4 linked regions of the Saccharomyces cerevisiae S288C genome follow. Changing the gene in region 2 together with the main gene of any one other region gives a genetic interaction. Each region holds a gene or a part of one and is shown on either strand. Other genes may lie near its edges. The genes, in order: SGT1, HSC82, SKP1 and CPR7.

Region 1 (8,255 bases), on a different chromosome or scaffold from region 2:
TGAAACGAACCGCAGAGCTGTGGAGCATTTGATCTCACCCGCTTTGCGATAAGCTGGCAAGGTTAAATCGGATTTGAACCACTCCCTTTCCCTCAGAATGAACATCCGATAGAGTGACGACGCACCTCCGCAGCATCGTAAGCGCTAACTATGAGACATAAAACTCCCTTTGGAAAATGAGTTAAGTGTCCTACTTGCCTATTTTTAGCCTTCTCTTCTGGTTATCAGTGATTAATGCAAATTTATTCTATGTAAAGATATATATAGTTCAAAAGTTTTACAATAATGAAATTAGTCCTATTTAAGATCGCTGTAGCCCTCCTTTATCTTCTTTCTTTTTTCCTTCATCGTCTTCATCTTCGTCTTCGTCATCTTCATCGTCGTCGTCGTCGTCGTCATCATCGTCGTCATCATCGTCGTCATCATCATCATCGTCGTCGTCGTCGTCGTCGTCGTCGTCGTCGTCGTCGTCATCATCGTCATCATCATCATCGTCATCGTCGTCGTCGTCATTATCTTCATCTTTACCACCAGTATCGTTCTTCTTATTATCATCCTCCTCATCGTTATCTTCATCCTCTTCTTCTTCCTTTCCCGCAGAAACATCGGGATAACCACCTAGTTTGACGACTATCTTGCCAACAATCTCATTTGCATCCATCATCCCACTTAACCCGATGTCACCGTTTATGCCCATGACTTTTTCTGAGGGTTTAAATACAGTTACCCAAGGCATCTCTTCTTGAATAATTCGAAAATGTTTTTTAGTCATTATGGAATTGAACGTACCGCTACCCATTGAAGGCGCTAGGAATATGGGAAACGTTGGATTCCATGCCCTTATTACACTTGTCAAAAGGTTGTCACATAAACCAAGGGCAATCTTGGCCAACGTGTTTGCGGTTAATGGTGCGACAACTAGTATATCTGCCCAACGACGTAGTTCTATGTGTAATACAGGATCAGTTCGTTGTCGCCATACATCCCACTCGTCTTGGTCTGTCCAAAATTGTATATGTGCTGGCAGTTCAATTTGAGGATGTTGCGATACAACGTTTGAAGAGTTGCTGTACGTACGACTACCACCAAGTGTCGAAGGAAATCCAGTAGTAGAGGCCATTTGTTTTTCTTCCTCCTGTTTATTATTTGTCTGAGAAGCCGCTGAGTTTGAAGACGTCTTCTGAATGCTAAATTTTTCAAGAGAGGCTACTTTTTTCTTGTTACCAGTTATATTGCCAGCATTAGAATTGGTGCTGTTGAAAGAAGTATCGATACTATTGTGTTGTTTCTTATTTTTCCTCATATACTTCATTGCAAAAAATTTGGTTGCTGAGTTAGTTAGTATAACTTGTATGCATATTTTGTCCCTTCCGTAAATTTCTTCTAATTTTCTGATCATGTGCTTGAGTTTGAAAACAGACAAAGAACCTGTTGCCCCAAAAAGAACGTGTAGCTTGCCGTCATCTTGGGGAAGCCTTGGATCCATATTGGTCATAATATTTTCTCTCTTCAAGGGATTTGAGACTGCATTGGGAGACATTGCTTCTTCCAAGACAGACTCCAACAATGTGGGCTCTCCAGTCTTTGATATGGAGCCCTCTCGTTCAATGTTGATGGGGTTAAATGTATTCACTACCACAGAGGGGCGAGGACTAGTACTGTTAGACCTTGATCTAACTGATGGGGTGTGTAAAGGATCTTCCACGTAGAAATGTGGGTGCTCCTTTCTGGGGCTATCGGAACTATTGTCAGAGTTTAAAATAGAATCTGTTCCACCGGTGAAACTTAGCTTTTTAGCCAGCAGGCTGGATATGTTATTCCCCATATCAGCATTGGAGAGAATAGAGGTTGGAGTCGAAAAAGAAGAAGCAGAAGCCTCGCCATCTTTTGGTACTTTTGTATTTATGTCTTTCAAGTTTCTTCCTTGATTTGCACCCTCCGCTGCGATGTGTACAGACGTTGCTTTCTTTTCGCTGGACTGTCTGGCCACCTGGTTAGGTGGAGTTTGCTCCACATCCGACCTGAGACTACCCAACTTTGGATCGCTGAATGTAACAGTTGGTATCCTTTTTAACCCTGGCTCTGGTGTATTACTTACAACTGCCCCAGAAGTTCCGCTAGCATTCATGATTGACTTAGTTTGTGAACCAGTGGGACTAGTTGATTTCCTTACTACAGGAGTGTCCAGACTAGAAACGGAAGAAAATGGTCCCGTAGAATTTGTGTCAGGCATTGCCGATGAACCTATATTGGCCTGCTCAGCTCCAGAGAGAGTATTCGAAGCAACCCCTTTCCTATTGTTCTTCAGGCTAGATTTGTTTGTCATTGCGTCTCTGCACTATAATTATGGCCAGTATTCCTCTTTCTGGTCTCTTCTTTGAACTAAAGTAATCTTATAAAAGGCTATCCTTTTTTTGGCAATCTAGTATTAATCCTGATCAAAAAGTCCTCAAAACGAGCCCTCTTCAAAGTGCTGTAACACCATTCATCTCATAAGGGGAGGGCATACTGAGCAATAAAACGTTTTCTTACCTTTTCGGTCTTTTGGACTCTCCAACCAGAAAGTTAAAGGGCAAAAAAGCTCACATGACACGCTTGTTTTGGAAAACGTCATAGAAAAACCACGTGAAAAAAAAAAAAAAAAAAAAAAAAAAAAGAAAAAGAAAAAGGGCAGCTGCCAACTAGTACACACTACACAGATATTTATGAAAAACACTAACTTCTCCTTTTGGAACTGTTGACGTACCTTCCCTTACCAATGCGGACGTTATGCTGCTTCAACCCAGTAATTGCAAATGGAGAAATATAGTTATCCGCAGAACCGCCACCAATCCAATTGTTTAGAATCTTCTCGTTGTGTCTTCTTGTCCATTCTTCTTGCTTTATCACCTTTTCGTACTCCTTTTGATCTTCTCTGAGAATCACATTTTCCTGTGGTTTAGAATGTACGTGTCCCTTTTTGCCGTACCTTTTTTGGGAGTTCTTAGATAAGGGGCTGGCTACAGAATATCTGTTTCCTCTATTGTTCCATTGGAAGTTCGACTTCAAGTGCGGTGTAACGTTCCCCGTGCGTGAGTCAACGGAAACTGCGCATCTTAATAAGGTACCCTGTCCACCGCATGAGGCACAGAAGTGCTTTGGCTTGCCGTCTTTTGGTAGAGGAAATATTTTGAAACAGGCGTGGCATCTTAGCATATAATTACGGATTCGCTTGATTTTCAGACCTGACATGAAATTCATTAGATTTAGATTCATCTGCAACGCTACATTTTGGACGGCAAAATCGCCAGTCGCCAATGCCACCTGATTCTCTGGTCGATTCAATGCGACATGGCGATCCTCTTCGGACGCTTCTACACCCAATGAACCAGTGGTATCTTCACCACTATCCTTAATAATTGCTTCTGTTAAGTTCTCGGGGGTAATCCAATCACCATCATCATCAGCATCCTCGAATACTTCATTTAAATCGGAAGATTCCTTTATATTTTCATCATTACATATCTGCTCTTTGGATCCAGCCTCCTCAACATGTTCCTCAGCTTTACTCTCTAGCTCAAGGTTTGCATTTTCAGCTTCTCTTGCTTCTCTTGCTTCTCTTTTTGCCTTTTGCTTTTTTCCACCTCTTCTCTTGTTCTTTTTTTTTGGAACACTTTCAGAGTCCTCCTCCTTTTTATTATCTTCTGTGAGCTTCTGTTTGCCGTCCGTACCAACGTCAGCCTTGGACGCATCTAATGCATCACCTGGTTTTTTCCTCAGTCTCCAATCGCCATTATTTAGTTTAATTTCTAACTCGTATGTCAAAGCAAGAATATGCAAATCATTGGCACTCAGTACGGAGTAGTCACCGGTCAATTTGGCGAACGTACTTACTTTGGCTATCGAGTTTTCACTTGGATGTACTAATTTCAAAGTTCCGAGGCTCTGCCAAATTTCAAGGTTTTTCCTTGCTTGAGCATCCTTAATTTCTTGAAAAACTGTGGGAGTAGTATAAAAAGACTGTGCATAATTCTGGTAATGTGTGTAGGACTGCGTAATTAATGGGGTGGCATCCAATATCAACGCCCTTACATGTGCGGTTTGGTTTTCGGTCATATTATGCTCCTTTAAAGAAACTTTAGAAAAATACTGAACTATGATCGCCGATGAGATTTATCTAGCGCTGACTGAACGACCTCTATGTTAAGAACATACTTGAGATAATGGTGCTGTTTCTCCATGTAGACTTCTTCTTAGCAGGTAAAAATTTGCCAATGCAAAACAAAGCTCATCGAAAAATTTTGATCTTGCATTATGGAATGTCCGGGTTTTTCTATTGAGACATTCAAATTTTGAATTCTTCTTCAATAGAACCAGGCTCAGCACAGATACAAGAGAAATGATAGTAGATAATACCGCCATAGTGCTTATGCATCATCTGCTAATTCTTTTAAGAATGATCTTCTCAGTCTTACACTGACGAGCACTATATTGATGACTTTGATCACTATAAACGAAGCCAATATAAGCACTTTAGGGTGTAAGGTCTCAAGATGAGTTGATCATATGCGATATATCTTTGAACGCTAATAATTGAACGAAAGCACTATGACAAAGTAATGGCAGAAGTCTTTTAAGGTTAAAGAGGTAGTTGTTTTAAGGAAACGAAAAAGAAATGCCTGTTGAAAAAGATTTAAAAACTGCCTACAAAGCTTTGTATGATGAGAAGGAACCACTGAAGGCCCTCCATCTTTATGATGAAATTCTCAAAGGCTCACCCACAAATTTAACGGCTCTCATTTTTAAGGCAGCATGTCTTGAAAAGCTATACTTTGGGTTTTCTGATTGGCACAGCGATGCAACTATGGAAAACGCAAAGGAACTTCTTGACAAGGCTCTAATGACAGCTGAGGGTAGGGGCGATAGATCGAAGATTGGTCTTGTTAACTTTCGTTATTTTGTTCATTTCTTCAATATCAAAGATTATGAACTGGCCCAATCTTATTTTAAAAAAGCCAAGAATCTTGGTTACGTTGATGACACTTTGCCTTTATGGGAAGATCGTCTGGAGACAAAATTGAATAAAAAAAATAAAAAGCAGAAGGATTCAACTAATAAGCATACAATTAAACCAGTGGAAAGTATTGAAAACAGAGGAGATAATAATTCTTCTCATAGTCCCATTTCACCTCTCAAAATTGAAACCGCTCCTCAAGAATCCCCTAAATTTAAAATCGATTGGTATCAATCCAGCACCTCTGTCACTATATCATTATTTACTGTTAATCTTCCTGAGTCTAAGGAACAAGTCAATATATATATTTCTCCAAACGATAGAAGAACTTTATCGATATCGTACCAAGTACCGAAATCTGGATCTGAATTTCAATACAACGCTAAGCTTTCGCATGAGGTGGATCCAAAAGCAGTGTCATTAAAAATTTTCCCAAAAAAGCTGGAAATTACCTTGAGCAAAATTGATAGCACGCAATGGAAGAAGTTGGAAGAAGATATTTTAACGGAATCCTCAAGGTTATCAGATGAGGGTAAAAATTCTGATTCTGCAACCCGCTTATTATCAGCAGAAACGGCATCAAAAGAGAGATTGTCTTATCCATCGTCCTCTAAAAAAAAAATAGATTGGTCTAAACTTGACATTGATGAAGAAGCTGATGAAGAAGCGGGATCGGCTGATAGTTTCTTTCAAAAGCTTTACGCTGGAGCGGATCCAGATACCAAAAGGGCTATGATGAAATCCTTTATAGAAAGTAATGGTACTGCATTGAGTACAGACTGGGAAGACGTATCTAAGGGAACGGTTAAAACTTCACCACCAGAAGGCATGGAACCTAAACATTGGTAAATGATTAGTATATACCTACACAATTACAATATGTAGATATATAGTATGGTAGTAATGTTACATTTTCGATTTAGACTAGCCAACCTGCGTATTTACTTGGAATGCTTACATGATTATATTGAATATTACAAATTTTATTATGTCCATATTAATCCAGAGTCACGGTGCAATGGAAAAAGGAAAGGGAGAATGATAGAATAAAAGAAGGAAAGAAAGAGACAATGTAGCGAAGGCTAGAAAGTGATGTGAAAAAAAAAACCACAAAAAAAATAAATAAGAGATCAGAGGGTTAAATGAATGCGCTTTTAAGAAATTCAAATATCTGTAAAGGAGAATCCATTCAATTTCGAAACTTGCTCATTTTTCCATGTAATAAAATCCTTATCATTTTCATCTTCCATCATACTGGTATCATCAAATCCGCTTTCAATATCTTTTTGTTGAATGTTTAATTGAAATTTACCTTCTGGCGACATGGAAAGTTTATATATGCTGTGCTCAGGTTCTTTATAAGGACTGCTCAATTTTTGTGCGTAATCTTCTAATGAGCTTTTGCGTTCCGGGCTTCGTACATTCTCCTTACCCGTGGTGCCAGTCGACCTTTTAAGAAGTTCTAAAGCCTTTTCTTTAGTTAATTGAGGGATATGACTACCCTTAGTGTCGACTTTGTTCAGCGGGATAGGAAACAATTGGCGTGGTTTTACTGCATGTTCGCCATGCGTATGATTTATCCTAGGCGATGATGAAAGATCGGATGATCTGTTTCTGTTTAAGGTAGGTCTCTCTATATTCCCTTTGGAATTCCTAGATATTACTGTGGGTGCTAGTAATCTTGTTGCTCTTCTGTTCGGACTAGATAACTTCGTTGTTCCTTGCATATGACGAGCAAGCGAGTTCTCTTGGGATAGATCATTCTTTGTTAAGCCTTGTATTGTTTTCTTTGAAGGCGTTTTATAAGTAATGTTGGCATCATTTAAATTCAAACCAATCGGTACCCTGATGGAACTTTCTGTGGCCTTGAAAGTGTTTTTTATGACTTTATTCTCTTTGTTCGCACCACATTTTCCCTTTTTAGATCTCTGCATTCTAACTCTACATCTTGGATATTTTGCTTCGATTTCCTGTTGCTGAATGTCAATTGCTTCTGAAAGTGGCTTACCTTTGAACAAAAAAGGTTGATCAAATAGACCATCGGCCTCTTCTAATTTAATTCTTAAATCATTGATGACTCGAGGAAAGTGTCTTGTTATCCTTTTCCTCATTTTTTCTTCAGTTAGTAATATCTTATGAGAATTTCTAGACAAAAGCCGTGAAGAGTCTTTTGAACTTCTTTCCAAAAATTCTTGATCTTCTTGTAAAGATTCAAAATCTGATATTAATTTTAAAATTGGCTTATAAAGGGTCAGTTTTTCTTCTAGTCTTTTTAGCTCATTTTCGCAAGTTTCTAGAAGAAGCTCATCTTCCTGTAAAGTTGTTGCACTGTTCCTTAGTTCTTCAAATACAATGATGAATTTAGACCGACTTTCTTCTGAATACTGTAACGTACGCCACAATTCCTGAATTTTGTCCCAGGAATCTGATATAAGTTTTTTTATTAGTTTTTTTTTCATTGCTTCAAGTCGCATAACTTCTTTAGAGATTCTACCTAAGGACTCGGTTGATAAACTTGAATTGTTACGCATAAAAGTCTTTATGTATTCTTGAGAAATTTTTAGCCTTGTCCAAAGTTTTTGGCATTGTTCCATCAGGAGCCTCTTTTTGTCTGCTCTTTCCTTATGGATAGCTTGCAGTTTTTCCAATGTAATATCAATTTTAGACATTCTTTCTCTGTCTACCGGGTGGAAATTTGGTATTTCTGATGTGGAGTTTTCCTCTTCTCCATATGATCTTAGATCTTGTTCAAAATCTTCACCGATTAACGTTGCTAGGGGAGTTCCAAGTTGTTCACATATTGATGAAATACTAACCTTTTTTGTGAGTACGCTTTTAAACCTCCTCTCGTATTCTTCCTCGTAAATTTTTATGACTTCATTCATGTGTTTCACAGATTCTTCGTTAATAGTTTTAAATGCCGATCCCTTTAAAATATCTTTTCTATTATCTATAATAAATTTCATGGACAAACCAATATCGCCTTTACCATTTTCTATTTGTAACAAATATGCGGTTAATGTGCTTAATTCTGGAAACTCGGCGATAGCCTCGTTATCTGCTTCTGTCAATCCAGGAAGGTTTTCTTTTACAGATTGTATGAGGTGTTTTAGAGTGATTAAGGATTTTAAATAGTCGCGGAGCCTGGGTAAAAAACTTCCTAGGACAAATTTTTTTGCTGTATCTAATGCTGCTTTTTTGCTTAGTAAGGAAAGTGGCTTTTTCGGTGACTGTGGCACAGTTTTACTTTCTTGCAGTAGAA
Region 2 (9,130 bases):
TCTAATGAGCCATCCTGCAAACAGTTGACAGGAACAACTTTTAAACCCGCCATAGCGGCAGAAGCCGGATTTGTACCATGAGCGGATACAGGGATTAAACACACGTTACGATGATTTTCACCTTTGCTTTCCAGGTAGGATCTGATTACTCTCAGACCAGTATATTCACCTTGAGCACCTGAATTTGGTTGTAAAGAAATACCATCGAAACCTGTAATGCTGCATAAATCTTTCTCCAACGAAGTAATTAGTTCCTTGTATCCTTGGACTTGGTTTGATGGCTGGAACGGATGGATATTCGAAAATTGGGGCCAAGTGATTGGCATCATTTCAACAGTACTGTTCAATTTCATAGTACAGGAACCTAAAGGAATCATAGAATTAGCAAGAGATAAATCACGAGATTGCAACCTATGTAAATATCTCAACATTGCTGTTTCGCTATGGTGCATGTGAAAGACTTCGTTCCTCAATATTTCATCAGTACGCTGAAATTCCCTTGGGAAACTGTTAGAATAGTCCTCAGAAAGAAACTGCGAAGAATTTTCAATGTCAAACACTTTTAGTAGATTTTCAACATCAGCTTTTGTAGTTGTTTCATCAAGAGCCAAGGAAATAGTGGTGGTGTCCACGGCAAACAAATTGATATTAAATTCTTTCAAGGCCTTGTCCAATAACTGCTCGGAGGATATGCCATTACCTAACTTTATAGTCAAAGTATCAAACCATGTTTTATTAATTAGTTCGTGAGGGCAACTGTCATTTTCGATGGCATTTGCCAATATTGATGTTAAGCTAAATATCCTCCTGGAAATATTCTGTAGGCCCTTAGGACCGTGATAAACACAGTAGCTCGAAGCAACATTAGCCAGTAAAGCTTGAGCGGTACATATATTTGAAGTTGCCTTATCACGCTTGATATGTTGTTCTCTTGTTTGGAGGGCCAACCGCAAGGCCGTCTTGCCTAAGCGGTCTTTAGAGATACCGACAATTCTACCTGGAATTTTTCTGTTTAATTTATCAATAACAGCGAAAAAAGCAGCATGAGGACCACCATAACCCATTGGGACACCAAATCGTTGAGAGGAACCCAGGACGATATCAGCACCGTAATGAGCAGGTGGTTTTAGAAGTGTCAAAGCCATTAAATCTGAGGCCACAGAGAGCAAAGACTTGTGAGAGTGTAACGCATCAGATAACTGTTTCATCGAGTCAGGCGGTAAGATTGAACCATCTGTCGCTGGATATTGAACCAAACAACCAGATACGTCGGGGTTCTTTAAAACATCCACAGCTTTCTTGATATCCGAACAGTCAACTTCAATAATTTCAATATTGAACGGCTTGGCTCTGGTGTGAAGGACACTCTTTGTTTGCTGGTGTAATTTTTTATCTATTACGTATTTTAGTTTCTTTTTTCTGGAAATATTGAATGACAAGAGCATAGCTTCTCCAGCCGCTGTACCCTCATCCAACAATGAGGCGTTCGCCACAGGCAAACCAGTCAAATCTGAAACAACCGTTTGAAAGTTTAATAGCGCTTCTAGCCTACCTTGAGAAATTTCGGGTTGATAGGGCGTATAAGAAGTATACCATTCTGGACTTTCTAGCAGGTTTCTTTGTATAACCGGTGGTAAAATCGTACCGTAGTAACCCTTACCTATGAAATTTTTAACTTTATAGTGGTTCTTATTGGCAATCTTTTCTAGATGTTGAAGCATTTCTTGTTCACAGAATCCCTTACTAGGAGCTTCTAGTTTCAAGGGTCTTCTCTTCAAAATATTGGGAGGAACGAGCTCTTCTATAAATGCGTTTAAATCGCTATAACCCATTGTTTTTAACATTTTCTTAACGTCGCTAGGAGAAGGACCTAAATGACGTCTAGCAAAAGTATCTAGCGGTCTATCAATGTTTTTCAAGTCAGGATTGAAAATCCTGCTGTACTGTGTAGACGTTATGTCTGTAGCGGCTGTTTTGAGCAAAATAGATTGAGAATGGAATGATCTAGTCCTCGCTAATGAAACATAATTGGTGCTTGACCTGACAGTAGCCCTACAAAGGAGAGCAGTCACTCTTGTCCTAAGCATGTTATCTTCCTGGTATTAGGAAACGTTTTTCCAATAAACTGTGGTTAGTTGATGGTTAGATCGCGCAGCAATCAATACAGTAAGATTGGTACACACGAGAAAGACTAATTCACTGGAACTTGAAGAGAAGAAAATTGTGCCACTCGAGCCTGCTATATATACATCCATTTATATTCGTTGGAGATCTTTCGACTAGCTTATCAAGGTCCTTCACAGCTCAATGCTGACTTCGATGACTCCTCTGAGAGTCATGACTCCGAAAAGGAGGAGTCTATACCTCAAGAAGAGTCAGAGATGTCGGGTAACGATTCAACCGGGTAACATGATTGTTATTTCATAAGATTAGAATTCTGAAGCAATTTGGGATTGTGCCAAACCAATGCGAGCATCAAACTGTTAGAGGAAATCCACAAATAAGGCCAAACAGAAGTAAACTCAGGGAGTTGAATTCGGGTTAGAGATTTCAAAAGTCAAATCAAGATCAGTTAAACTGTAATGGCTCGCCAAAATTTTTTAGGCTTGGTCGTCTCCCAAGGGAAGATGCAAAAGACGGTTAAAGTACGTGTAGAAACAAAAGTCTTTAATAAGAAAATCAACAAGGAGTTATTTCATAGAAGAGATTATTTAGTGCATGATGAAGGTGAAATATCAAGGGAGGGTGATTTAGTAAGGATAGAAGCGACGAGGCCGCTTTCAAAGAGGAAGTTTTTTGCCATTGCAGAAATTATTAGAAACAAGGGTCAACAATTTGCATTATACGAATCAGAAGCTCAGTTAAGCGTTGCAAAAGAAGAAGCCCAAAAGGCAAAAGAATTTTTGGATAAAAGATCAGTGAGGGAGAATAAACTAAATGAAAAAACAACCCTTTTACGTGATATTAGGACCATCCAAGATGCTTTATCTAGCGGGTCAACGCCGAAAGAGTTATTGGAGATTAAACAAAGGTACGGCATTCAAGATTTTTCACAAGAAACAGTGAGGCAACTTTTACAGTTAGACATCTCTGGATTGGAGGTTAATTTGGAGAAACAAAGAAGTCTCATTGATCGTATTCAAACGCGATTATCCGAATTGTTGTCGAATGATCTAAAATGTGATCAATTTTTGAAGGATCATGGTGTTGAGGATCCTTTGACCTTGAAAAAAAACATCAAAAAAAATTTGTTAAGAAAGCACGTCATGATGGATATGCAACAACCAAGCCAGTAAATAAAAGAAAGAGGAAAGCCGAGTGTCATATTTTCTCAACTAAAGCACTACACTCTGTAAATATATACAACTACAAGACTTCGTTACGTAAATAGTAAAGTGTTATGTTTTGACTTTAAAATATTCTAGTGAAAAGAACGATGTTTTTGATTTTCTATCGTTTAACGCATTTATATATTTTCAGGCAAGTGATATCGAAGATGTGAGTACATCGCTCGTCCCCATCGTCAAAAACAAAAGTAAATAAAAGAGCTCTGCTCTGATTTTACAAACAAGAAAATTCCAAGGAAATAGTCCAAGTTTTATATGACCCCACCTCATTTTTTTTTATCTCTCATAAAAAAAAGATGCATATGCTGGATATGTTTGGAAGAATCCACATATGACTCTACATGGCTACAGCACACGTGCGGTTGCAACTTACAAATTCATAAACGCTGCTATATAAGATGGCTCTATCAAATGCATGTTGAACTTTTTCTTCCGAACACAGTGGACCTACCAAAGGATGCTGATTTACCTATAATCACCTGTTTAAAATGTCTCGTTGATGGGCACCATGATTTTATGACGACTTTCTCTCTTACAGAAATATGGGAAACTCGTCCCATTTGGGGGCAAAAATCAGTACCGTTTCAAAATGACTACGTGTTCAATCTAATGTCTCTTTATACCAAACGGGATAATCATCCACCTTATGTGTTAGTGAAATTTGGCGAATGTCCTCAATGCAAGAAAACAAATTTCATAAAAAGACCTACAGTAACCATCCAGTCTTCTGTACTATCCCTGTTTTATCAGTGGCAAAAAATTACACGATACGTGATACCATTAGGGATAACTAGTTTATTTCTTTTAAACCCTGAAAAGACAAGTTTTGACATTGGATTATGGCAACTACGCTGCCTTTTCCCTGAGAATGTTCTACGAAATATGTTAAACATCAGCACTACAAAGGCATTGGACGTATATGCGCAAACTGAACGTGGCTTATTAAGCATTCCTTTAACCTCCTCGATCATAATATATGGGTTCATACATTATCTTAGCAACATTTCTAACGTCAGTGCTAATGCAATACTCTTTAAGTGGGTGTATCTCAGTATTGTAAAAACTGCTGGAAACAAATATTACAAGGGTATAGGTTTACCTAAAATAATTTTGTATTCTAACTTGGCTACATTTTGCTATAATTTTACCTTTAAAAGATTGGTTGACTTAATTTACAGGAGGCTGATCAATAAAGGAGGTAAGTATTTGTATCACGGAAATTTTGAAAACTCTAGTAATAGCGTTCCAGCTGAGGAATTTTTTATCAGGCGGAATTGGTATGCTATTCTTGCAGAAAAGATACTATGGCCCTTTGTTGGTAAATGTACAGGAGGTCTTCTATTGAATGCTTTTCTATGGATACAGAGAAAGTTTAAAATTGAATGGACGCCGAATTGCTCCCCTTCGGAATTTAGAATGATTTTCAATATTATAGGTTGTGGTACTGCTGCTATAGGCTGGTCAAGTCTGAAGCTCTATGCCAGTTACAAAAGATGTCAGGAACTTGAAAAGATCAATGAATTTATTGAACAAAGTTGCAAAGGTGAGTAAATAAGTCATTCGTAAGTGTACACTAAACTTTAAGGACAGCTGGTAGGACAATTTTATGGTCATTTGACAGCTGATGTCTTAAATTGTGTGCTATGGTTCATGTTTACATTAAGACCAACTTTTTTAAAGGCGCGTAAAGCAGAATCATTATTACAAATAGTAAAAATAAGTAAACAAATTTATATAATATATAAAACATGAAGGCGAAAAAAGAGATTAATCAACTTCTTCCATCTCGGTGTCAGCTGGAACCTCTTCAACTGGAGCTTCGGTAGAAGCTTCTGGAGCGGTTTCTGTTTCTTCATCCTCATCAATGTTCAAACCTAAAGAAATCAATCTATTTATTCTTGATGCAAAAGAAGTTGGTTCTTCCAAACTGAAACCAGAAGTCAACAAAGCGGTCTCGAATAATAAGTTAGTCAAATCTTTGACGGTCTTATCTTGTGCACCACCCTCATCAACTCTCTTTTTCAATTCCTTAATAATTGGAGATTTTGGAGAAATTTCGAAAGTCTTCTTGGAAGACATGTAGGAGGACATGGAAGAGTCTCTCAAGGCTTGAGCCTTCATGATTCTTTCCATGTTAGCAGACCAGCCGAATTGACCAGTTCTGATGGCAGCTGGAGCATCTAGCAATTTGTAAGAAACAACAACCTTCTCCACTTGGTCACCCAAGATATCCTTCAAGGCCTTGGTCAATGGTTCGTATTCTTTGATCTCCTTCTCTCTTTCAGCTTTTTCTTCGTCTGTTTCTTCCAATTCGAAATCTTTAGTAATGTCAACCAAAGTTTTACCCTCGAATTCCTTCAATTGAGTGAAAGCGTATTCATCAATTGGGTCGGTCAAGAACAAAACTTCAAAGTTCTTAGCCTTCAAGGCGTCCAAGAATGGAGACTTTTCGACTGCCTTTAGAGATTCACCGGTGATGTAATAGATGTTCTTTTGGTGTTCTGGCATTCTAGTAACGTAATCAGTCAAGGAAGTCAATTCATCGACAGATTTAGTAGAATTGTAACGTAGCAACTTAGCTAAAGCAGCTCTGTTTTGAGTGTCCTCATGTACACCCAGCTTAATGTTCTTAGCGAAGGCAGAGTAAAATTTGTCAAATTGCTCGGAGTCTTCAGCGATTTCGTTGAAGGCTTCAATCAATTTCTTGACAATATTCTTTCTAATAACCTTCATAATCTTATTTTGTTGTAACATTTCTCTGGACAAATTCAATGGTAAATCTTCAGAGTCAACAACACCCTTGACGAAAGATAACCACTCTGGAATCAAGTCTTCAGCTTCATCAGTGATGAAGACACGACGAACGTACAACTTGATATTGTTCTTCTTCTTCTTACTCTCAAATAAGTCGAATGGTGCTCTCTTTGGAATGAACAAGATAGCTCTAAATTCCAATTGACCTTCAACAGAGAAATGCTTAACGTACAATGGGTCTTCCCAGTCGTTAGAAATAGACTTATAGAAAGCATTGTATTCCTCTTGAGTGATATCAGATGGGTTTCTAGTCCATAATGGCTTAGTCTTGTTCAACTCTTCTAATTCTTGAACCTCTTCTTTAACTTTTTTGGTTTTTGGCTTCTTTTCTTCTTCTTCTTCATCGACTTCTTCCAATTTTGGTTTCTTGTCATCTTCATCCTTCTTTTCCTCGTCTTTCTTTTCTTCTTCTGGAATTGGAACTTCCTTTTCGACTTCCTTGGTGACTAGAAGTTGGATAGGGTAAGCAACGAATTCAGAATGTCTCTTGATGACTTCTTTAATTCTCTTTTCTTCCAAGTACTCCAATTGGTCATCTTTCAAGAATAATCTCAAGACGGTACCTCTACCAATTCTTTCGTTAACTTCGTCCAAAGTAACGGTGAAAGAACCACCGGCATTAGATTCCCAAATATATTGTTCGTCCTCATTGTTCTTGGAAATAACTTGAACTCTGTCGGCGACTAAGAATAAAGAGTAAAAACCAACACCGAATTGACCAATCATGGATACATCGGCACCAGCAGATAGAGCTTCCATGAAAGCTTTAGTACCAGACTTAGCAATGGTACCCAAATTGTTAATCAATTCAGCCTTGGTCATACCAATACCAGAATCTCTGATTTCCAAAACTTTTTCTTCTGGTTTTGGGGTGATTCTAATGAACAAATCTGGTTCGGTTTCCAATTGCTTTGGATCAGACAAAGCTTGGTATCTAATTTTGTCTAAAGCATCGGAGGCGTTAGAGATCAGTTCTCTCAAGAAAATTTCCTTGTTAGAATAGACAGTGTTGATGATCAAACTCATCAACTGAGTGATTTCAGCTTGAAATTCAAAAGTTTCACCAGCCATATTTCAGAATGATTCTATTTTTCTATTGGTTCTGTAGCGTTTCAAGAAAAAGAAAACAAGAGAAAGAATATATCACAAAAAATATAATGCATGTGTTCATGTCACTTACGGTAGGCAGTTCACATGCCACTCTTTTTATACAAATCTCCTCCCTCATTACCCAACGCTTGGTGGAAGTTCGAGAAAACGAGAAAAATTGTTCTTTCACCTTCTAGAAAGAAAAGTGCCCAGAAAACAGAAAGGCGGGTAATAAAATGCATCGGCGGCTATTTTAACTTTCTATTGGTAATGGCTGCTGTTCTATGAATACAAAAAGAAAGAATATAAAAGAACGTAAATATTAATTTTGCCTAAGAAGCAAATTATAATCAAATGCGTAATGGGTTATAAACTATCTAGTACGGTTAAAAGCTTGTCAATCTGTTCACAAACCATGTAATCTTCATCTTGATCACGAACGTAAGATAATAGTGTTTTTAGCTTATCGTAGTTGTACTCAAAGGGAAGTAAATCAAATCCTGTACTGTACAACAAATCATGTATCAAGTGTACGGCACTTCTTCTCATCAAAAAAGAATCATCCTTGTCCTTCAAATGATTTTGTGGTTGTTCTAATTGCAATATTCCAAATACACAATCCAGCATATCGCGAATTCTATCCGAGACACCCCTGGCGTTGATTTGAAGGCACATACCTAAGATTGACATGGATGACATACGCCATCTATTGTCCAATGGTTTACTATCATTTGGCCTCACAATACTAAGACAGGTATCTATAATCAGATAAGCCAATTTACCCTGGAACAATTCGTTCTGACGTTGAATGTAATTGATGAACACTTCTCCAACTTTCAGCACATCATCTAATCTGTTTTTCTTTTTTTTGTTAGCATAAAATTCTGCAAGTAGAGGCAATATGGTTTCTGGCTCTAATTCACATAGCGTTGTAAGTCCTTTAATAACGTTGAGATAAATGAAAGGGTCCATATTCTTTAAATAATCTAAATGTATTTGCAACACCTTTTCCAGTGAAATTACTGGAGACTTCTTTTCAGCTAGATGACGTAGTTCTGTTAAACCATAAGATTTTATGGGCACTAAAGGATCATGTAGACTAGTTATCGCTTTGTCAAGCCTTTCCTCATCCATCTCAATTTCTATGTTGTCGTTCCTTTCCGTAGTATGTCCGTTAATCAATATATTATCTATTGATGCCAATAATGCATCTATTTCGGAAGCATTAGTGTTGAAAGATTGTAATTTTCTAGAAATGGATTTCAATATATAACTGTTTTGCAATAATATACTACTGGACGATTCTGAAAGGACGGTTGATAATAACTGCAAGATAATTTTGTAGGAAGAATTTTCATTTGGATCCAATTCTTCTGTTTCTTCTCCTTCTTCAACTTCGTCGTCAGAATCTGCTTCTACTTCCTGTATTGTTTCATCTTTTTCCTGAACAACATCTATCAATTGATCAATAACAATAAGAACGTCCTTAGGTTTATTAACAATCTTGGTTTTAAATCGGTTGTTCATACATTCCAAAAGTTTCAAGTCCATGAGTATTAACGCGTTATCTGTAACGCTTGGCATCCCGCTATGATTATCGGAAGATCTTTTTTCACTTTTTTTTGTATGATGGACCCATCTTTTCAGAATATCTAAAAATAAAGTCTTTGATTGTTCCTCATCATTTAGCAGCACTAAAAATTCCATAAATAATTCTATCGAAAGGTCCATATCTTGAAGAAACTCAGAAATTTGAGAGTTTTTGGATCCTTTTTCGAAAAACAACTCTGCCATATCTGTGTTTTTAACCGATATGTAGGGTAGCTGAGTATCAAGATCAATTAAATACTTCCATTTCTCGTGCTCAAAATTCAGTAAGT
Region 3 (7,441 bases), on a different chromosome or scaffold from region 2:
CCAAAAACCTGGAAAACATGAGTATTCAAGACACGTCAACTGTAGCAAAAAATGTAAGTTTTGTTTTACCTGACGAGAAATCAGATGCAATGTCCATAGATGAAGAAGATAAGGATTCAGAGTCTTTCAGCGAGGTCTGTTAAAATTGATATGCGAGCTCTTCATCTATTTAAGTTGATTTTTTGGTTGTAAACATATTTGTATTTTATTCTTAGGTTTGTTAATTCTTCTACGCTTACCAGATATAGATGCTATATGTTATTGCATTACGCACATTACCCGGTGGGACAAATTATGGAAATATTCCAAGGCTATAAATTCTTTGGTGAAAGGAACTGAAATTATGTCCAGTAATGCACCAGAAATGGACATATAAAACTATTAATGCATTTTATTACAATTATCCTAAGAAAATATCCTATATATAATTAAAGTAAAAGAAATAAGATCAAAAGAACAAAATAAAGTCGAGTAGAATTTTCCTACTTGACTATATTAGAACGAAAAATGTTATTTTATCAAAGTAATTGGTTAGTAGCCGACGTGTTATCCGTTTGGGCCAATAATTCTTTCATTTCTTGCAGCTGCAATTCGGTGATTTTTATAGATTCAACTAGCTGCTGTATTTTATGATCACTAACTCCATTTACGAGCTTAACCTTCTTGTTATTACTCTCCTTAATATGATTGGACAAGACACTATTTTGAACGGTTCCATTTCCACGATCTATCAACCAGTCCCATATGAGACCCTCCGTATCGGTGACTATGTTATTTTTATTCGAGTCTTTACGGCGGGCATCTTTTATAATATTATCTTCGTAAACATGATAGAGTGTTTTAAAATTAGGAACGTAATTATATTCATTTCCATTAATTAAGATTGTTCCTGGAGTAATAATCTGGATGTTCGAAGTATTCTTAGAATGGAATAATAATCTAAAGAAGAAAATCAAGCAAATAAAAAAAGAGATAATTGTCATAATTCCTTGAACGGATGTTATGTTTACTTGTTGTAACATTGAGAAAGCGGAAAAAAATGAATTTTTGGTACTTGTATCTTCGAAGTTTTCTTCATTCTTCTCATTCTTGATAGTGGATGGTGATGATTTCCTTTTATTTACCGTCTTTCCTCTTCTCCTCGATTTTTTCTTCGTTGAACTAGCATTAGAAATTATTTTTTTGAGATCATCTACGAGTTGCTTTGTTGAACTTCTTTGTCCATCAATTGAACCTTTCTCAATGGTTCCTTTCAGCATTGATTTACCTGTCCAGACAACATTGGTGACAACTTTCATGTTCGTTGTGTTGTGATCACCCCAGGAATAGAAAAATCTCGTATGTACTGAAAATGAACTACCGTAAGGAACATCCGGAGATCTGACTATTTGTTTTACCATAAAAAAACTGTTCAAATCCATATGCTCGATGGTCTCTGTGACTATACATTTAGTTTGCTTCGGACCGAATGAATTGTTCAATTTTTTGGTATAGGTGATCTCTCTTGCGTTATTCACAAACTTTGGAATATCACAAACATTAAAGTTATTCTGGTTTTCGATGATTTTCTTAATATATGATGTGTCATCACCATACAATAGTGAAAACACTGTTCCTAAAGGAACTGGTATATTAATTTTTTCATCGATAACTGTATCGTCTTTTCCTTTTTGAAAATCAGGTTCCGTCGGATCATGAACTGGAGGTCCAATAGTTGGCAGATTAATAATTTCTTCTTCTGATTCATTATTGCTGGCTTGATGCTTTGAGTTTATGTTTGAGTCTTCATCACTTAAGATTTTCTTAATTTCAGATATCATTATCTTTGTGGTGTCCGCAACACCATCAAATGTTCCCTTTTCAATCATACTTTTGATCCAACTTTTACCAGTCCAATCAACAGAATTGTAAACTGTTAATTTGGTGGAGTTGTTTTTATCCCAAGAGAAAAGGAAAACAGTTTTCACTGAAAAGATATTCCCTGAAGGAACATCCGGGTTCTTGGTAATACTGAGCACTTTAACATAGTCTTCCAAATCATAATGCTCTAAAGTATCTGTGATCAAACATTTTGTTTTACTTGGACCAATGCTGCCTGATAACGGTTTCGTATATGCATAGTCACGAATTTTCTTTGTGAGGAAATTGTTAGGGATTGGCGATATTTCAAAATTTTTCTGAGCTTTAAGGATCCTTTCATAGTAAGAGACGTCTTCACCGTATAAAAGATTTACTACTTTTCCTAATGGTGCATTAATATTTGCTTCAATAACCAAATGATCATTATTGGAAGGTTTGAAATCAGCAGTGGTTGGAGAGTGTTTATTGGGACCCAATAAGTAGTTCGTAGATTTTTGGTTTTTACCAAGATCATTTGATTCATTGAAAACATCAGCATCAATATCGTCACTAGATGTCATATCTGTGCTATTAATATCAGGGTCATCGTCATCCAGGTCTCCATCGTCGTCATTGTCATCGGAATCATCAAAAAATGCACTGCTCGAATCGCTTATCGTACCGTCGTCATTATTACCGAAGCCATTCCTATATTTTTTACCTAAGATGATCTGATTCCATACATCTGTAATTAAATCAAAGGTAGCATCCCTTGACATAAAAGAGGCGAAGATGTACTTTGTATGCAACGTATCAATTACAATACCATTGGGGAAAATTCCGGCGGTAGTCTTTTTCTCAATCTGAACGATTTCCTTAAACGGAATGAAAACTGTACTGACCCATCCCAAAATGTTTGAGAAAAATCCAATGTGTGCATCAGATATATACATCCTTCCTTGTAAAAGAATATCACGAGATAGTGCACAACTATGATCGACAATTAACTTTTCGTTAGGATTAATATCGCAGTCCTTGAAAAGGGTATGAAATTCGCTGTTTTTCTTTTCTGAAGCATATTCAATACCTTCTAACTTGAAATCATCATTGCCAGAATCCAAACCCATTATTGCATGGATATTACCTGAGCCCGCAGTACTTGTTCTTGGCATTTGCTGTCCCTGATTTGTACTAAAGAAATCAGAACTACTATTCCTATTTTTGTTGAATGAATTTCTTAAATTAATTCCAGGGATCACTTTATTGCCTAAGTTCGAAGGTGAAAAAGATCTCCTGTTTAAGAATTTTTTGGACATACTTCTGAATTTTCTTTCGTCGGCATCATCAAAGGCCATATCGTTTGAATAAGAAGAATATCTTGAATTTCTTTTACTATTACCTTCATCACCAACGGCATTCTCTAATGCTTTGTTCGCGGGCAGTGTCTTACTTCTTGCCCTATGGCTAGAAAGGTTCGATTGTGAATTTTCAAACCTTGCCATGTCGATATAGGTACTATTACGATAACTTGTGTTTAATTCTTTTGGACCGAGATTATTGTTTACGTTACTTTTGCTAATATGACTCAAGTTTGTTGAACTTGCATTTGGATTATTATTGGTATTATTCTCGTCCAGATCAATAGTTGTATTATCAATATCAGAGGATCCTGCCACTGCCTCTAAAGTTAAGTTGCCTTTACCAAAGGTTGAGATTGCAGGCTCGTGTACTTTCAAGGGCTGAAATTTCACTTTGCCAACATTTGATCTATCATCCCTATCATTGTCGTTCTCGGTTTCAGAGTTAGAGTTTGCATTTACGTTTCTATTGTTAGGTGTCAAAGAACCTGAAAGGGGCGTAGTCGATGTATTTGTAGGTACCAGTTGAGTTGATGGTGAAAGAAATGCTTTGGAAAGAGGCGATAACTCTTCCTCGTCATCCCCTTCCTCTACTTGAGTATGTTTATCAGAGGCTGGACCAGAAGTGGGGGATAGTAAATAATCTAAATGACGCAAAAATGATGAACTGCGGTGGGCTGTGTTAGCGGAGGGGGAATGAATGAGCACTGTGTCATTGGGATTTTGGTTAGCATTTTCGGAAACAGGTAAGGGCCCTTGTTGCTGTGACAAGGGATGTTGCTGCTGCGCGTGGTGGATATGGAAATAAGGATGGCGAGTTGAACCTGTATGACTTTCACCTGAATGCGAAAATTCACGTTGTATCTCAGTATTTAAGGCTGAAATTTTAGGGACATGAGATATGGCACTATGAGCAATTGATAGAATAGTATCAAATAGACTGTTTGAAGAATTCTCAATGTCGTTATTGTTGTTAATATTATTGGGTGCTGACATTGAATCGATAGCTGGGTGCGAAGAACTTTGAGAGTCATCCTTCTGTAAGATGCTCAAAACTGGTCGTTCATTCTCAGAAGACGAAGAATTGAATGTATTTTTAGTATCAGTATGTTTGACTTTCTCACTTGCTCTATCTATAGTCACTGGAATATTAAAATAACCTTGTGGAGAAGTATTCGGTTTCTTCAAGCCAGCCTTAGAATTTTGTAGCGATCTTCGAGGTATGAAAGTCAAGTCTATACCATGTTTGTTCTTATTACTCTTATTACTAATATGACTTCTACTACTCCTTATTGAGACGATATCTGGTAGCTCTAAAGGCAGTGGTGGGATAGAATCACTAAAATGAGGAGTATGAGAATATTGAGCAGGAGAGTTTGAACCAGAGTTACCGGCAACACCTTCATTAGTAGAGCCTATGTCGGTCAGTACTCTTCTCTTAGCGATGGTCTTTCTGCCATTGTTGGCCCTTCTTAATGATAGGGATGATTTTGCTGCGGAATTGGTAGATTCCTTCCTTGTACGAGTGGTCTTACTTCTTTCCATAACAGGTTGCTTTTTCCTTGACATCAATTTCAGTTTCTTGAAAAAATGACCATCACTAAATGACCTTTTTTTGCGAGTAGCTTCATCCCTCATTGGTTAGGGATATCTGTACAGCTGCTGCTTCTATATATTTATATGTGATTAGCAATCAATATACCCTATTTTAGATGAATAATTTAAAGCAAAGGGTTAAGCTGGTGTTGAAATGCTCGAAGAAAATAAACTTGACTTAAAATTTAGACCAAATATTTCACAAATATGATTCAAAACGGAGTGTTTACAGCTATCTGTCCTAAATTTATCCCGTCTCATCATGTAAACAATAGCTTTTATAACTCAATAATTTTCCTTTTTTCTTCTTGTCACTTTTGCGGCTTTTAGAAGACGCCTATCGCTACACACGACGATGGACCACACATCTTATTGTAGTTTGAAGTTTATGTAAACTGTATACATATATAATTCATACATGCTTGGTTATGGTGGACTAACGTACACATTGCATGACAGCAAGCCTTGTTTGCTTATTTTTGCCTATCTTGCTCTGAAATGGCGCATTATCATCGGAAGAAAGGATCACAGTCATCAGAGGAAATGTAGGCTAACGGTCTTCAGCCCATTCATTTTCACGCCTAATGGCAGCCTCCTCCTCTGGAGTGAAGTCGTTGACGATATTAAACGTTCTTCTAATTTCCTCGGGAGACCTTCCCCTGATCATTTCAGCAACCACCTTGCAGCCAGCGTCAAGCAAGGGCTTGATGTTGAGGTAGTTTGCCGCCAGAATAATTTCGTATAGCATCTCTTGGTCCACTTTCAGGAATTCTCTGTCCCATGAGTCCACGGGAGCACTCTTTCTGGAATCGTCGTCATCTTCGTCAGGGAAGTTAGAGTCTCTGTGGTGCTCGGCCCATTCGATAACCTTCTGCAAAACGGAAGACCGAACATTGGGCACGGGCATCACAATCTCGTCGTCATCCTCATCGTCGTCGTCACCGTTATTGTTGTCTTTGCTTTTGTGGTTCGTTTCCGAGTCTGAATCTGATTCTGAATCTGAGTTGTTTTGTAGGTTGCTGTCATGCATATCGTTCAGATAGTTTTTCAATAGCAGGGATCTCTCCGCGATTTTCTTGTCTACGGTGAATCGTTCACCCTCACCACTCACTAGGACAACATTAGAAGTCACCATATCTGCGCTACGTTTGTTAGTATTCCTGTATTGTTTATAACGTCTTTTCTGTTATATCTTTGCCAACGTTGGGCTATCACTTTCTCTGCCCTCAATATATCAACCTATTTCTTCCCTTTCTCTTCTTTTCTCCAAGACGCCCGTTAAATCGCTGCAGGGTAATGTCATGTTACCTATTGCACACTTACTGTATTAAAGATTACGCTATATATATATATATTCTGGTGTGAGTGTCAGTACTTATTCAGAGATTAAGGCTTGAAGGAAAACGAGCTGGAGACGCCAAAGTTGCTGTATACGCTGGCGCTCAGATCATCGAGCGGCTGCACAGAATCCAGAGTGGCCAGGTATTCGTTCACGCTGCCGCTATGGGAAGACCCGGCAGTTGTTTGAAGCATTTCTTGGCAACAGTCTTTCATCGACATAGCGAAAACTGCCATTTGATACTGTTGCTGATCTTCTTGGCCAGGTTTTTTCTTGGCTATTGTCTTTATGCCGACCTTGTTCATTATGAAATGGAATGATTCATTTATTAGAGACTCTAACACTATGGATGTTGCTGTGCTTTCGATACATTGGGTCAGTTCATTCACCAATTGATTAAAAACTAGTGTGTTAGAGTGAAAACTTGTTAAAGCATCCGCGTCAAGCGTCTGTGACAGAAGAAACTCCTGTCCACTGGAATCTTTAGGAAGCAAAATAGACGTGAGGTTATTATTATTTTGCTGGAATATTTGGGAATTCGTGTTCCGGAATATGTTCGTGAGACGAGAACTAAATTCTTCTAACGTTAGAGTATCTCTTGGGTGTATGCCGTCAAATTCAATTTCGATTTGATTTGTAATTATTTCATTGTAACTCAACCACCCCTTGTTAAGAATCCACCATGATAGTGATAGGAAAGCTTGCTCATTAATATACACTTCCTGGCCTTCTTTCTTTGACTTTTTTGCTGCCATTACCATTGCATCATCCGCTTTGTCCTCCGGATCGCTCCACCACGATGTAACCCAGTTATAGAACCTATTCTGTAGTTTGTTGCAGTTTTCCTGCTGCATGGTTAATTTTATTGCGGAGTCCAGGTACTCGTTTCTTGTCAGGATATTTAGTTGCAGTCTTGTTAAAAGAATCAGCGACGATACTGTGTACGTCACTGTCACCAGCTTGATCAAACTCTTTAGTTCTAACTCGTTCCACAACTCAGCTTTACTTTTTAACGGCGAACTTTCTCTGCTTTCACTAGACTTTGCTCTAGTCAACTGGTTCTTTTGGTCCTTTAATTGGGTAACGATGCTGTCCAAATTCAAATCGTTTTCATTCAAAACCATTCTCCATACAGGAAGTAGCTCGTATATTGTGTACAACGAGTCTTCCTGTGTCTGCTCGAACCTTCTTTTGATCTGTTCTTTGATGAAGTGTTGCTCAGTAATCCGTAACTGCTGTTTATACAACCATCTCTTCACGAAAAACACTACCACCGACCCTGTGGTAAATAAAGCAGCTATTCCAGTCA
Region 4 (8,110 bases), on a different chromosome or scaffold from region 2:
TCTATCGGATTTACAGGATACGCTTTACTTTATACTCAATTAAGGTATGATTACACGAACAACACACCTAGTTACCTACCTATTGAAAAAATTGATATCACAGCACATACAGCTCATAATATAGGTGACTCCGTATGGATGAAAAATGGCACGTTTGTTGTTGCTTCCGGAAATCAATTTTACATCAAGGATAAATCTCTGGATTTGACTGATCCATTTACGTACCAATCAATTGGTTCAAGAAAAATTTTATCAAATGATATTCTCCATTTAAGTAGTGTTTTAAATGGTCCACTTCCAGTTTATCATCCACAATTTTTGATTCAAGCCATTTATGCGAATAAGTTACAACTTGTCAAGGAGCTGTTATTAAGATTGTTTTTAGCGTTAAGAAAATTAGACTTTGAATCGCAAGATGTATCTAATTTGGATTCCAATCTAGGAATGGATCCATTAAAGTACTTTATTGCTAAAGATAGAGACTATCCGGTCGAATCTTTCCCTGATCCATACCCCTGTTTCAATAAGACAGTGTCTCTAGCACTTACTGAGCAACTAACGAAAACAACTTTGCCTTATCTAACCCGCCACCAGCAGATCACGCTTATCACAGTCATTGAAGCAGTGGATGAAGTCACCAAAAATGAGAATATAGTAGATTACAACGGTGTTAGGTTCTTGTTGGGCGTGAAGTTATTTTTATCACATAAAAATATTCAAAAAAGCATATTGATGAGGGATGTGTCTTGGGCATTGCACTCAGACAATAAAGAAATATTATTATCTTCTATTGACCGCCACATAACCTCATGGAATCGCGCTCGAGAATATAGAATAGCCTATTGGATTAAGGAGCAGGACTTGGTGAAGAAATTCGAGGATATTGCAAAATATGAATTTTCCAAAGATGATAAGAGGGATCCAAGCCGTTGTGCTATTTTTTATCTTGCGTTGAAGAAAAAACAGATACTATTGAGCTTGTGGAAGATGGCTATTGGTCATCCTGAGCAGCAAAAGATGGTTAGATTTATCAGTAATGATTTCACTGTACCGAGGTGGAGAACGGCAGCACTCAAAAATGCTTTTGTTCTGCTAAGTAAGCATAGATATATGGATGCAGCAGTTTTCTTTCTCTTAACTGACTCTCTAAAAGATTGTGTCAACGTTCTTTGCAAGCAAGTGCATGATATGGATTTGGCAATCGGTGTATGTCGTGTTTATGAAGGTGATAATGGACCCGTGTTGGGAGAGCTATTGACAGCGCAAATGCTACCTGAAACAATAAAGGAGAATGATAGATGGAAAGCAAGTTTCATTTACTGGAAATTGAGAAAGCAGGAAGTGGCTATTAAAGCTTTGCTGACTGCTCCGATTGATTTAGAAAACAACTCAAGCATTGTTGATAAGGAAGTCTGTGTTAACAGATCATTCCTTGTTGAAGACCCTGCTTTGCTCTATCTATACAATCACCTGAGAAACAGAAACTTGAAGTATTTCATTGGATCTCTAAATGTTGAAGCAAAAATCGAGTGTACTCTGATCTTAAGAGTTACTGATATTCTTTGCCGAATGGGTTGCAATTACCTGGCGGTTTCACTTGTGAAGAATTGGAAGTTCATCGAAAGAAATTCCATACCAGTTCAGAAGCTATTAAAGAGCCCCACCAAGGATAGAGCATATTCTGCTATTGGCGCCATGGCGTCTGAACCAATTTCTACTGCTAGGATGAGGCCCAGTCTTTTTGATAAGTTTGGCTCGCCAAGTGCTTCAGATATAGAGTCACCTAATCCAAAGTTACCAAATAGCTTATTAGACGACTTCTTGCAACCACCACCAAATAGCACTTCTTCAAATTCCCTCGCTCAAAGTTCTTCTTCTGCACCTAGAAGTATACTGGATGAGTTCGTCTCTCCTTCATATTCTCAGCATAAAGAGAATTTAACTCCAAAAGCGCCAAACGACTCTGTGGGTGAAACAGACAACTCAGAAAATAGGAAAGATAAACTCTCTAAGGACATATTAGATGATCTTTCATCACAAAAGCCACAGAAGCCAAAAAAATCTGCTATTACCAAGAACTTACTAGATGACTTTGTATGATATCATATTTTTTATCAAATAAATGGATTTATAAATAAAAATAATTACATCTTATTAATGTAGTGTTTTCATATTGGGTTATTTAATCTCAAATTTCAGCCTTACAAGTAACTAATTAGGAGAAAAACTTTGATATATTCTTTCTTGTCTTTTCCTTATTCTCTTCTATGAGCCTATTGACATATTCTATTCTTTGTTCTATAACTTCGTCATCGGGATTTTTCTCTTTACAAAAAATATAATCTTGTAAAGCTTCGTCTAGTCTCTTTTTTTTTAAGTAACTGTTACCTCTTCTATAATAAGCCTTTGCTTGATCTCTGTTAGGAACGTTATCCATCTCCAATAAATACGTAGCATACATGATAGCATCATCGTATCTTTCCAGATTAAAGAGCACCAAAGATAAATTTAGGTAAATTTTCATCTTTAGGTTAATAAATTGGATGTTTCTTTCTTTGTCTACGTCGGGTTCAGGCATGTATTCATTGATATAATTTAAAGATTTTCTGTATTTGAAAAAGGCATTAGAGTAATCCTTTTTCTTAAATAAGAGCGTCCCAGATTCTTTGATTATATTAGCAGCCTCAAGAGCCTTACCAAAATCATCGTCACCGAAATGTGTATCATCGTCTGGATATTCTTCGTATACGTCACCGCCAATTTGGTCATTAGAAGCGTTGTAAAGCGGGACACCCATAGTTTTTTCCCACACTCCACAGTCGCTGATTCTAACGTCTGATTCAGGGACTCCATCAGAATCTACCCTGCAGTTTTCTATAGTGCGAACCACTGATTTTCCATGAACCACCTGCCCAAAAATAGAATGCTTGCCGTTCAAATGAGGTGCGGCGTATGTAGTTATGAAAAACTGGGAATTGTTCGTATTTGGAGAACCTAAATTGGCCATACCTAAGGTAAAGGGTTCTACAAACTCTCCCAAGTTTTCGTCTTCAAAATTCCCGTAACAGAAAGATTCATCATCGGTTTTCACTTCCTCTTTATCAGCGTAAATTGAACATCCACCTTTTCCAACAGACGATGAAGAGGAATCCTTTTGTGTCCCAAAGACAATGTCACCTGCCTGGATCATAAAATTCTTAACGACTCTATGAAAACCATTTCCCTTATAGCTCAGGTACTGTTGATCCTTCAAAGGACTCTTAACATCACCAGCGCATAACTTATAAAAATTCTCTGTTGTTTTAGGAGCCTTCTCACGAAAAAGTTTGCAGACAATACGACCAATTGGTTTTTTATCAATGGAGATGTCTAAATATACAAGGGGATCTTGAATCATCGCGTTGGATGTAGGTTGTTGCTGCCGAACACCTTTCAGAATAACGACTTTTTTTTTCTTTGCAGTTTCTCATTTTTATGATTTTCTAATCACTTCATCACTCAGCGCATTGGAAAAAAAACAATATATAGATCTCTTTGTTTACATGTTGGAACTAAGACCTTTTAATATGGATACTTTACACAGAGAATTGAACCATCTTAGTTAAGTTAATTCGCAACTTTGGTAAGAAGCGCCCAGGTTTAACTAATACGGCTTCATATACAAAATGCACGACGTGCCAATGGAAACTGTTTTGGCCGTGAACCCAGCTACGATGATTGTCAAAGAGTGCATCAATCTTTGTTCTGCCATGAACAAGCAGTCCAGAGATAAATCACAAACAAGTGTGGCCGCGTTGCTGGGCGGAGGTAGTGATATATTCTTGAGTCAAAGTGATTCGTTTGTTGACAGCTTCCACAATTTGCCTACTTCTAGCTATCATGATCCTCTGATATCTGGTTTAGTACAGCTGCGGCTAAAAATTAACGACTTGAAGGGTTTAGATTCATTAAACGCCTTGGAACTTTTGAAACCATTTTTAGAAATAGTCAGCGCTAGTTCAGTATCGGGTTATACTACTTCTCTGGCTCTGGACTCGTTGCAGAAAGTTTTTACACTAAAAATCATAAACAAAACATTTAATGATATTCAAATTGCCGTTAGGGAAACCGTTGTTGCGCTTACACATTGTAGATTTGAAGCTTCAAAGCAAATTTCGGACGACTCTGTTTTATTAAAAGTTGTAACATTACTACGCGATATTATAACCTCTTCCTTTGGAGACTATCTCTCCGATACTATAATCTACGATGTTTTACAAACGACACTTTCCTTGGCATGTAATACGCAGAGAAGCGAGGTTTTGAGGAAAACGGCTGAAGTTACAATTGCAGGGATAACCGTTAAACTATTTACAAAGTTGAAGTTACTAGATCCACCTACAAAAACAGAAAAATATATCAATGATGAAAGTTACACCGACAATAATTTGAAGGATGACATTATAGGTACGACTACCTCTGATAACGATTTGAGTAGCACTGATGATGACAGTGCTGTTGCAGACGATAATAAAAATGAGAAGCCAGTCCAACAGGTCATAAGGGAACAGGAAAATGATGAGGAAACGGCTGAGAAAGCCGAAAATGTCGAGCCAAATTACGGAATAACAGTTATAAAGGATTATCTTGGATTATTGTTATCACTGGTTATGCCAGAGAATAGAATGAAGCACACAACTTCGGCCATGAAATTATCTCTACAGTTAATCAATGCAGCCATTGAAATATCCGGTGACAAATTTCCTCTATATCCCCGGTTATTCAGCTTAATTTCTGATCCAATATTTAAAAGTGTTTTATTCATTATACAAAGTTCTACCCAGTATTCTCTTTTGCAAGCAACTTTACAATTATTCACGAGTTTGGTTGTGATATTGGGTGATTATTTGCCTATGCAGATTGAACTGACTTTAAGGAGAATATTCGAAATTCTAGAGGATACCACAATCAGTGGTGACGTTAGTAAGCAAAAACCACCTGCAATCAGGGAATTAATTATTGAACAACTTTCAATACTGTGGATTCACTCTCCCGCTTTCTTTTTGCAACTTTTTGTAAATTTCGATTGTAATTTGGATAGGTCGGATCTTTCGATTGACTTTATAAAAGAGCTAACTAAATTTTCTTTACCAGCGGCGGCCGTTAATACCTCTAACAACATTCCTCCAATTTGCCTAGAAGGTGTACTTTCGCTTATTGAAAATATATACAATGATCTGCAGAGATTTGATAGGGCAGAATTCGTAAAAAATCAGAAAGAAATTGATATTTTGAAACAGAGAGACAGAAAGACTGAATTCATATTATGCGTTGAAACATTTAATGAAAAGGCAAAGAAAGGCATTCAAATGTTAATTGAAAAAGGATTCATTGATTCGGATTCTAATAGAGACATTGCTTCATTTTTGTTTCTCAATAACGGACGTTTAAATAAGAAAACCATCGGTCTATTACTTTGTGATCCGAAAAAAACTTCATTGTTAAAAGAATTTATAGATCTATTCGATTTTAAAGGGTTAAGGGTTGATGAAGCGATCAGAATTTTGCTGACGAAATTCAGATTACCAGGGGAATCTCAACAGATTGAAAGAATCGTTGAAGCATTTTCATCAAAATATTCTGCTGATCAAAGCAATGATAAAGTGGAGTTAGAGGATAAAAAAGCAGGAAAAAATGGCTCAGAGTCAATGACAGAAGATGACATCATTCATGTACAGCCTGATGCAGACTCTGTGTTTGTGTTAAGTTATTCGATAATCATGTTAAATACCGATTCACATAACCCGCAGGTTAAAGACCATATGACTTTTGATGACTACTCTAACAATTTACGAGGATGCTACAATGGAAAAGATTTTCCTCGTTGGTATTTGCATAAAATTTACACGTCCATCAAAGTTAAGGAAATAGTAATGCCTGAAGAACATCATGGAAATGAAAGGTGGTTTGAAGATGCCTGGAATAACTTAATATCCTCAACATCTGTGATGACAGAGATGCAAAGAGATTTCACAAACCCTATTTCTAAGTTAGCGCAAATAGACATACTTCAGTATGAGAAAGCAATTTTCTCAAATGTTAGAGATATTATCCTGAAGACTTTATTCAAAATATTCACAGTTGCTTCCAGTGATCAAATATCATTACGTATCTTGGACGCCATTAGTAAGTGTACATTTATCAACTATTACTTTTCTTTTGACCAGTCATATAATGATACTGTACTTCATCTGGGAGAAATGACAACATTGGCACAAAGTAGCGCAAAAGCGGTGGAGCTAGATGTTGACAGTATTCCTTTGGTCGAGATATTCGTCGAAGACACTGGGTCGAAGATATCCGTTAGTAACCAGAGTATAAGACTTGGACAAAACTTTAAGGCTCAGTTATGTACCGTATTGTACTTTCAAATCATTAAAGAAATAAGTGATCCTAGCATTGTTTCTACCAGACTATGGAACCAGATTGTGCAACTCATTTTGAAATTATTCGAGAATTTATTGATGGAACCTAATTTACCATTTTTTACAAACTTTCATTCACTCTTGAAACTTCCTGAACTACCATTGCCAGATCCAGATATATCGATCCGCAAGGCAAAGATGAGCAGAAGCCTTCTGTCTACTTTCGCCTCTTACTTGAAAGGCGATGAAGAACCTTCGGAAGAAGACATCGATTTTTCCATTAAAGCATTTGAGTGCGTTAAGGCTAGCCATCCTCTCAGTTCAGTCTTTGAGAACAATCAACTCGTCAGTCCTAAGATGATTGAAACTCTTCTCTCTTCACTTGTGATTGAAAAAACGAGTGAAAATTCGCCCTATTTCGAACAAGAACTTCTCTTTTTGTTGGAAATATCCATTATATTAATATCAGAGGCTTCTTATGGACAAGAATTTGGAGCACTAATTGCTGATCATATGATTAATATTTCGAATTTAGATGGCCTTTCCAAGGAGGCTATTGCAAGACTTGCCTCGTATAAAATGTTTTTGGTTTCGAGATTTGATAATCCACGGGACATTTTAAGTGATTTAATAGAACACGACTTTTTGGTAAAAAATGAAATCTTCAATACTAAATATTATGAAAGTGAATGGGGGAAGCAAGTAATAAATGATCTGTTTACACATCTCAATGACGTAAAATACAATGAGCGGGCTCTCAAAAATGTAAAATTTTGGAATTTTTTAAGGATATTAATATCAGCCAAAGACCGCCAATTTGCCGTCTACACATTTTTGGAAAAATACATTCAAAATGGTGATATCTTTGTAGATGATGGGAACTTTATGAACATATTAAGTCTGCTTGATGAAATGTCATGTGCAGGTGCCGTTGGCACAAAATGGGAACAAAATTATGAAAATTCAGTCGAGGATGGGTGTGAAGCACCTGAATCCAATCCATACCGTTCTATTATTGATCTTTCTAGTCGTTCCATTAATATAACTGCAGACCTACTTTCGACTGTTGGGAGGAGTAATTCAGCACTCAACAAGAATGAGATTATAGCTGCTATTCAAGGTCTCGCCCATCAATGCCTCAATCCCTGTGACGAACTAGGTATGCAAGCATTGCAAGCATTAGAGAACATTCTGTTATCTCGAGCAAGTCAACTACGTACGGAAAAAGTTGCGGTGGATAACCTACTAGAGACAGGATTATTACCGATTTTTGAGTTGGATGAAATCCAAGATGTCAAGATGAAACGAATTACTAGCATTTTATCCGTTCTTTCTAAAATCTTCTTGGGTCAACTTGTGGAAGGCGTAACAAGTAACGAAACTTTTTTGAGAGTGCTTAACGTATTTAACAAGTATGTAGATGATCCTACGGTGGAAAGGCAGTTGCAAGAGTTGATTATTTCTAAGAGGGAAATCGAGAAGGAGTAGACCAACGATAATGTAACTATACCAAGAAACTTAGTATGATGGAATTTTTTCAAGGAGTCGTAAATTAGATTTTCGCAGGTAATAATGCGATATATAAGCAATCTCATTTAAATATCGACGGTGGCATTTATACCATCATTTACTGTTATATTTATCTAACGCGTCGCGACGCGTTAGATAAAATACAACAAGATTTTTTTTTCGTGTCACCAATGGCA

The links.
Region 1: mutations in HSC82 (region 2) and SGT1 are lethal when combined (synthetic lethality), as found in Saccharomyces cerevisiae (3 studies listed by BioGRID, with this or other methods).
Region 3: mutations in HSC82 (region 2) and SKP1 impair growth when combined (synthetic growth defect), as found in Saccharomyces cerevisiae (3 studies listed by BioGRID, with this or other methods).
Region 4: mutations in HSC82 (region 2) and CPR7 impair growth when combined (synthetic growth defect), as found in Saccharomyces cerevisiae (6 studies listed by BioGRID, with this or other methods).

What each region holds. Positions count from the first base shown.
Region 1 is NC_001147.6:427,532-435,786, forward strand, and holds SGT1 (co-chaperone SGT1), read left to right. Parts: upstream 1-4,654; coding exon 4,655-5,842; downstream 5,843-8,255. Other genes in the region: phosphopantothenoylcysteine decarboxylase complex subunit VHS3, read right to left, coding at 302-2,326; NOB1 (rRNA-binding endoribonuclease), read right to left, coding at 2,716-4,095; ASE1 (Ase1p), read right to left, coding at 6,157-8,255. UniProt on the Saccharomyces cerevisiae protein: Involved in ubiquitination and subsequent proteasomal degradation of target proteins. Required for both entry into S phase and kinetochore function.
Region 2 is NC_001145.3:630,457-639,586, reverse strand, and holds HSC82 (Hsp90 family chaperone HSC82), read right to left. Parts: upstream 7,233-9,130; coding exon 5,115-7,232; downstream 1-5,114. Other genes in the region: GCV2 (glycine decarboxylase subunit P), read right to left, coding at 1-2,087; mitochondrial 37S ribosomal protein uS17m MRPS17, read left to right, coding at 2,583-3,296; YMR187C (uncharacterized protein), read left to right, coding at 3,603-4,898; RTP1 (Rtp1p), read right to left, coding at 7,617-9,130. UniProt on the Saccharomyces cerevisiae protein: Molecular chaperone that promotes the maturation, structural maintenance and proper regulation of specific target proteins involved in cell cycle control and signal transduction such as CNA2. Undergoes a functional cycle that is linked to its ATPase activity.
Region 3 is NC_001136.10:1,120,091-1,127,531, forward strand, and holds SKP1 (SCF ubiquitin ligase subunit SKP1), read right to left. Parts: upstream 5,929-7,441; coding exon 5,344-5,928; downstream 1-5,343. Other genes in the region: condensin subunit YCG1, read left to right, coding at 1-143; YSP2 (Ysp2p), read right to left, coding at 519-4,835; PEX3 (Pex3p), read right to left, coding at 6,180-7,441.
Region 4 is NC_001142.9:486,368-494,477, reverse strand, and holds CPR7 (peptidylprolyl isomerase CPR7), read right to left. Parts: upstream 3,398-8,110; coding exon 2,216-3,397; downstream 1-2,215. Other genes in the region: RAV1 (Rav1p), read left to right, coding at 1-2,100; Arf family guanine nucleotide exchange factor GEA1, read left to right, coding at 3,666-7,892. UniProt on the Saccharomyces cerevisiae protein: PPIases accelerate the folding of proteins. It catalyzes the cis-trans isomerization of proline imidic peptide bonds in oligopeptides. Plays a major role in negative regulation of the heat shock transcription factor (HSF).